Linked DNA regions of Xenopus tropicalis. The protein of the gene in region 1 purifies or fractionates together with the protein of each later gene. This does not show direct contact. Links are inferred from orthologs where the notes say so. Each region holds a gene or a part of one and is shown on either strand. Other genes may lie near its edges.

Region 1 (3,919 bases):
AATAGAAATGATTCATTCCCACCCCCCTGTTACTTACATACTGTATAGGGCTATGCACCAGAATGCTGTCTAACCTGGCACAGCTCCCATGATAACAGATGGCCAAGGTGCTAAACAGGATTTACTGACATGAGCGGGGAGAACAGTATTAGGGCACCTCGTTTGGGGAGTTTGCCAAACTGCTGACACTCCGGCTGCTATGAACTACAAATCCCAGCACTGAGAGAGGAGCTTGGAATGCTGGGAAATGGCTTAGGCTGGAATGTTGGGAAATGTATTTCACAAGCCAATAGGAGATCTCAGACCACTGTGGTCTAAATGCTCTGTTATACAGATAGCTAGAATCTCAGCCATAAAGCAGGGCAGGACTGCTGCTTACAATGGGGGGGATCAGATAGGATCTGTGCCACTGTGACAGAATGCTCTGTTATACAGATAGCTAGAATCTCAGCCATAAAGCAGGGCAGGACTGCTGCTTACAATGGGGGGATCAGATAGGATCTGTGCCACTGTGACAGAATGCTCTGTTATACAGATAGCTAGAATCTCAGCCATAAAGCAGGGCAGGACTGCTGCTTACAATGGGGGGGATCAGAATGCTCTGTTATACAGATAGCTAGAATCTCAGCCATAAAGCAGGGCAGGACTGCTGCTTACAATGGGGGGGATCAGATAGGATCTGTGCCACTGTGACAGAATGCTCTGTTATACAGATAGCTAGAATCTCAGCCATAAAGCAGGGCAGGACTGCTGCTTACAATGGGGGGGATCAGAATGCTCTGTTATACAGATAGCTAGAATCTCAGCCATAAAGCAGGGCAGGACTGCTGCTTACAATGGGGGGGATCAGATAGGATCGGTGCCACTGTGACAGAATGCCCTGTTATACAGATAGCTAGAATCTCAGCCATAAAGCAGGACAGGACTGCTGCAATGGGGATCAGATACATTATAGATAGTTGCACAGATATAAACTGTATTTCCACAACTAATCCCCCCAGGCAGTTGCAGAGTTTTGTTCCTTTACAGCTACCCCCCCCCCCTCCAATTGCACATAATATATAAATTGCCACCAGGGAACCCACTATGGCCACAGTAGCCAATACATGCTTTGTCCCACCACAACCAATCAGATGCTTGCTTTCCAACAAGTGACCAGTAAAATGCAAGTGGCTGATGGGTTGGTTGCTATGGGTTACTGGACCTGGTGCAAACTATGTGAAAACTTCTTGAAATATTTATAGCATTTCTCCAGCTAAGAGGTTCTGCAGCAGCGGCGGCGGCGGCCCCTGTATGGGCTGTGAGTGGCACACACACACACTCACACACACACACTGTTAGGCGCTCATATAGAAATGGAGCCTGTAGCCCCCCCAAGGGAAGAGCAAAGTGCCCCAATCAGCTGCCCCTCCCTGTGCCTCACCTGCCCTGGCCGCCCCACCCCTCGCCCGTCCCTGGATACTCCCCTCCCCCCTCCCAGGCCGGGGAGGAAATGATGTGCTAACGCCGCTCCATTCCAGCCCCAGACACCCATTGGAGGAGCCCGGGCAGCCAGCCACTTCCTCCCGCAGTAGCAGCCCCGGACTCAGCGCTGTTCAGCCGCCGGCCATTCCCCCCGCACAACTTTCTCCGCTTCCCACTCGCACTATATCGCCCTGCGCTTCTGTCGCACTGAGATCGGATCTGTCCCCCCGGTGCGGGGAAGGGGGGAGGTGCGCTGCCTGGGTGCGGGGGGAGGTGTCCTGCCTGGAAGATGAGGCTGCCTGCTGGGGAGAGAAGCCGCCTGCCCTGCGGAATGCTTCGCTGATTGCACCGGGGATCTATGGCTGCTTTGTCGCAACGCTAGCACCTCGCCTCGGCCCGACCCTCTCCGGAAACCCCATTCGCTCCAGAGCACTAGCCCGACCCCGGCTGGAGGTAAGAGATCTGACCCATGGGCTGTACGGGGAGCTAGGGCTGAGCCTTCCCCGGCCAAGGGGAGAGCAGCGCCCACTGTCCCGCAGCTGCAGAACCTCTTGGACTGCATGGAGCTTGTCTGGTTCCGCTGCGCCTTCACTACATTGGGGGACTGACAGCTCAGCCATTCCAGGACGTTCTGCAGCAGTGAGGCTGGTCCTGGCTGAACTGCAACTACCGACTTGGGGCCAATAGTGTGCCCGATAGTGTGCCTTATAGTGTACTCAATAGTGTGCCTTATAGTGTACTCAATAGTGTGCCCTATAGTGTACTCAATAGTGTGCCCTATAGTGTACTCAATAGTGTGCCCTATAGTGTACTCAATAGTGTGCCCTATAGTGTACTCAATAGTGTGCCCTATAGTGTACTCAATAGTGTGCCTTATAGTGTACTCAATAGTGTGCCCTATAGTGGGGCCAATAGTGTGCCCTATAGTGGGGCCAATAGTGTGCCCTATAGTGGGGCCAATAGTGTGCCCTATAGTGGGGCCAATAGTGTGCCCTTTAGTGGGGCCAATAGTGTGCCCTATAGTGGGGCCAATAGTGTGCCCTATAGTGGGGCCAATAGTGTGCCCTGTAGTGGGGCCAGTAGTGTGCCCTGTAGTGGGGCCAGTAGTGTGCCCTGTAGTTGGGGCCAGTAGTGTGCCCCTATAGTTGGGGCCAGTAGTGTGCCCTATAGTTGGGGCCAGTAGTGTGCCCTATAGTTGGGGCCAGTAGTGTGCCCCTATAGTTGGGGCCAGTAGTGTGCCCCTATAGTTGGGGCCAGTAGTGTGCCCTGTAGTTGGGGCCAGTAGTGTGCCCTGTAGTTGGGGCCAGTAGTGTGCCCCTATAGTTGGGGCCAGTAGTGTGCCCCTATAGTTGGGGCCAGTAGTGTGCCCCTATAGTTGGGGCCAGTAGTGTGCCCCTATAGTTGGGGCCAGTAGTGTGCCCCTATAGTTGGGGCCAGTAGTGTGCCCCTATAGTTGGGGCCAGTAGTGTGCCCCTATAGTTGGGGCCAGTAGTGTGCCCCTATAGTTGGGGCCAGTAGTGTGCCCCTATAGTTGGGGCCAGTAGTGTGCCCTATAGTTGGGGCCAGTAGTGTGCCCTATAGTTGGGGCCAGTAGTGTGCCCCTATAGTTGGGGCCAGTAGTGTGCCCCTATAGTTGGGGCCAGTAGTGTGCTTAATATTGTGCCTGCTGCCAGTTGTAGCGGATTATTCCCATGCTCTAGCAATAGGCGCTTCCCAATGCAGTTGTTGCAGAACTACAGCTTAGCCCTATACCCTTACAGTGTTTATCTGGCCCATGGGTGTGAGAATGAGGGGGGAGAGTTGCAAGTAGGGGATTCTGCCCCAGGCCTTACTGTTTGTGGGGCCCAGAAGGGCAGCAGTTCTTTTCAGTGGGGCAGTAGAGAGTCTCAGTAGGGCCCCAGACATCTGTATTGGAGCTGTCCAACCTGCAGCTTTCAGTGGCCCCTGGGTCTGACTTGGATTATCCTTCTGAGATCCCTGTATGGAATATAATTTGCTAGGAGGAGGCTCTCTCCCTGGCTGGGGCCCCCTGGTTTGTTAGGGGATTGGGGGAGACTTGCCCCATCTCCTTTTTGGCTTAATTGTGGGAATAGGGGAGAGTGTTGGCCATAAGGACAGAGGCTGAAGGTTGTCCTGCTGGGATCTCCCAATAGATTTATTTTGGGAAGGAGGAGCCTGTCTCTGGGCATGGGATCTGCTCCCCTCCCCATTGCCCCCCATAAGATTTATCTCAGGAATGGCAGATAGCGTATCCCTGCTTGTGAGATCCAGGGGCCCATCTCTAGTGACTGTCAATGGGGGTGGGGGGGGCAGACACTGCAAATTGTCTCCACACAAAAAAAGCCCCAGTGCAGTGTGTAATGCTATGCAAACATATTGTGGGAATGCAGCCAGCTCTCCTCCCGGGAATTCTCCGTCTGTGTGCTCCCAGCTATGTTTATCTGTGTGGGTGGAT
Region 2 (3,819 bases), on another chromosome or scaffold:
ATACATAAGATATATTAGCACTTTAATTCTTTTGATCAAGGTATGAAGTTGGATGGAACGCAGAGAATAATCAAGAACCTTACCTGTAACATTTTCTCCAGGACTAAATGTTCTAGGAACAAGAGCAAAGCCTTATGGTACTTGCACAAATAGCTCACAATTTTATCTGGACAGAAGCCATTCTGTGTGTATTCTTCAGGAGACCTTTTTGTAAAAATCCGGACACCAACCTGTAGAACCATAAAAGAGTCTCAGTAGTAAAAGACCAGACTGACACTCAAATTCAGAACATAGACATCAACTGCAAGAGACATATATACCACAACGTTCATTTGAGGGGGTAAAAGGCAATGGAATTTCAGCACTCGTTCTTATAAATTTATACTCCACAGTTTTTGAACATTGGTATATTTGCCATATAATTCAATTGAACAGTGAGGAACATAAGTATTTGAACACAGATTTTGCAAGTTCTCCCACTTAAAAATCATGGAGGGGTCTGAAATTCACTTTTTAGGTGCATTCCCACTGTGAGAGACAGCATTTAAAAAAAAAATTCAGGAAATCACATTGTATGATTTTTAAAGAATGTATTTGTATTGCACTGCTGCACATAAGTATTTGAACACCTGGCAATCAGCAAGAATTCTGGCTCTCAAAGACCTTTTACTCTGCCTTTAAAAAGTCCACCTCTACTCCACTCATTAATCTAAATTAGTAGCACTTGTCTGAGCTCTTTAAAGACATTCAGTCAGTCAGTCAGACTCCAACTACTACCATGGGCAAGACCAAAGAACTGTCAAAAGACACCAGAGACAAAATTGTGGACCTCCACAAGACTGGAAAGGGCTACGGGGCAATTGCCAAGCAGCTTGGTGAAAACAGATCAACTGTTGGAGCAATTGTTAGAAAATGGAAGAGGCTAAAGAAGACTGTCAGTTTCCCTAGGACTGGGGCTCCATGCAAGATCTCACCTCGTGGGGTATCACTGATGATAAGAAAGGTGAGGAATCAGCCCAGAACTACAAGGGAGCAGCTGGTCAATGGCATGAAGAGAGCTGGGACCACAGTTTCAAAGGTCACTGTCGGTAGAACACTACAAATCATGCATTGCACGGAAGGTTCCCCTGCTCAAGTCATCACATGTCCAGGCCCGTCTGAAGTTTGCCAATGACCATCTGGATAATCCAGAGGAGGCATGGGAGAAAGTCATGTGGTCAGATGAGACCAAAGTAGAACTTTTTGGTCTAAACTTTGGAGGAAAAATTAGGATGAGTTGCATCCCAAGAACACCATGCCTACTGTGAAGCATGGGGGTGGTAACATCATGCTTTGGGGGTGCTTTTCTGCGAAGGGGACAGGATGACTGCATTGTATTAAGGAGAGGATGAATGGGGCCACGTATTGTGAGATTTTGAGCAACAACCTTCTTCCCTCAGTCAGAGCATTGAAAATGGGTCGTGGCTGGGTCTTTCAACATGACAATGACCCGAAGCACACAGCCAGGATAACCAAGGAGTGGCTCCGTAAGAGGCATATCAAGGTTCTGGAGTGGCCTAGCCAGTTTTGAGACCTAAATCCAATAGAAAATCTTTGGAGGGAGTTGAAACTCCATGTTGCTCAGCGACGACCCTGAAATCTAGAGGAGATCTGTGTGGAGGAGTGGGCCAAAGTCCCTGTTGCAGTGTGTGCAAACCTGGCCAAGAACTACAGGAAACATTTGACCTTTGTAATTGCAAGCAAAGGCTTTTGTACCAAATATTAACACCGATTTTCTCAGGTGTTCAAATACTTGTGTAGCATATGTGTGACCTCCTCTGATGAAGCACCCAATGGTGCGAAACACTTTAGGAGAGTGGGTACCATGAGACACTGGGATGCACCTATCCATTGTTTGGTATAGTATGGCTACTGCTTATTTTTTAATTGTTTGTTTAATTTTGAGCCAATAAATGTTTTGTTTATTTCACTTAAATATATTGTTATTTGTTCATATATTGATTCAGGACCTATCAGTGGGATATAACTTATAGATTCTCTTTTTTAATCTAATTCACTATTATAATTAGCAGTGCAATAAAAATACATTCTTTAAAAATCATACAATGTGATTTCCTGAATTTTTTTTTTAAATGCTGTCTCTCACAGTGGGAATGCACCTACACTGTGAATTTCAGACCCCTCCATGATTTCTAAGTGGGAGAACTTTCAAAATCGGTGTTCAAATACTTATGTTCCTCACTGTATATTTTCCATATAATACAATGTTTAACTTTTGTAGTAATGATGAGTTCTATATACAGTATATTTTTATTATGTTTAGCCTTGGATGTTGAATTGAAATGCTTGGTACTACAGGAGGGGGAACCTTTGTATAAACTGCCAAGTCCTCAGTTACTATGATGCTTCTTCTAGTAAACCAGTGTGGGAAGTAACAAATATTGGGTACAGGTACAGCTGAAGGTACTGGTAGGATTTTATACTTTATACAGCATTTATACCCCGAATCAGTCGTACTGGCTGATACATTATATAGCTTTAAGAAGGGGCTGGATGGATTCTTAGCAAGTGAGGGAATACACGGTTATGGGAGATAGCTCTTAGTACAAGTTGATACAGGGACTGGTCCGATTGCCATCTTGGAGTCAGGAAGGAATTTTTTCCCCTCTGAGGCAAATTAGAGAGGTTTCAGATGGGGTTTTTTGCCTTCCTCTGGATCAACTCTTTTACCAAGATCAATGTCAGAAACATAGCACCCCTGTATTTTCAAATGTTGCCACCCTCCAAGTTCTTGTGAACAAAACCACAAACCTGCTCACTTTTCTGCAAAACCCAGTCTGCATACTGCCAAACAAGATGCTGGTCTCTGGAGAAGGTTAGGAAGTCTACTACGTACTCAAATAGGTCTGGTCGTGTGCTGTCTTCCAGTTCCCCATTAATAATTTTTACCCATATCTGTCAGGATTAACACAAGGTTTGCATTAGATTAAATGTTATAGTGCTTTGATACAAGTTTCCTTTATAAATAACTATAAAGTTTGTAATAATAATACACAAACATGCTTAGTCATCAAAAAAAAGGAAATGATTGGAAGAGTGGTTCCTCAAATTAACATCTCGCTTTGGGTGCTGTGGGACCTGTTATCCAGAATGCTCGGGACCTGGTGTTTTCCGGATAAGGGATCTTTCTGTAATTTGGAACTCCATACCTTAAGTCTGCTACACATCATTTAAATATTGAATAAACCCAATAGAACGGTTTTGCCTCCAATACGGATTAATCATATCTTAGTTGGGATCAGGAACAAGGTACTGTTTTATTATTACAGAGAAAAGGGAAATCATTTTTAAAAATTAGAATTATTTAATTACAATGTAGTCTATGGGCGATGGCCTTTCCGTAATTCTGAAACGTTCTGGATAACGGGTTTCCGGATAAGGGATCCCATACCTGTAATGTGAAAAATTCAACCCACACCCGACACTAATGCACAAAACGTTGCCTTTGTAGGACCCGCATGCTACCAATACCAGCGTCTTTTTGCTCTGTATGCTACTTCTGCATGTGCCTTAGGTTCCTTAGATGTACAATGTGTACAATGTGATCCACACCCAACCCGAACCCACTAAGGTTCCCCTAAATGTTAACCCTAACCCATCTATCTTAAAGGAACAGTAACACCAAAAAATGAAAGTGTATAAAAATAATTAATATATTATGTACTATTGCCCTGCACTGGTAAAAGTTGTGTGTTTGCTTCATAAACACTACTACAGTTTATATAAATACCCTGTTGTGTAGCCATGGGGGCAGCCATT

Evidence for each region.
Region 2: the proteins of acvr1 (region 1) and tgfbrap1 purify together in Homo sapiens (co-immunoprecipitation; 3 studies listed by BioGRID and IntAct, counting the BioPlex papers as one, with this or other methods). This does not show direct contact. The link is inferred for Xenopus tropicalis from reciprocal best matches to the Homo sapiens genes ACVR1 and TGFBRAP1.

What each region holds. Positions count from the first base shown.
Region 1 is NC_030685.2:73,883,514-73,887,432, forward strand, and holds the start of acvr1 (activin receptor type-1 precursor), read left to right. Parts: upstream 1-1,577; 5' UTR 1,578-1,917; intron 1,918-3,919. UniProt on the Homo sapiens protein: Bone morphogenetic protein (BMP) type I receptor that is involved in a wide variety of biological processes, including bone, heart, cartilage, nervous, and reproductive system development and regulation.
Region 2 is NC_030678.2:111,665,709-111,669,527, forward strand, and holds part of tgfbrap1 (transforming growth factor-beta receptor-associated protein 1), read right to left. Parts: intron 2,956-3,819; coding exon 2,812-2,955; intron 231-2,811; coding exon 84-230; intron 1-83. UniProt on the Homo sapiens protein: Plays a role in the TGF-beta/activin signaling pathway. It associates with inactive heteromeric TGF-beta and activin receptor complexes, mainly through the type II receptor, and is released upon activation of signaling.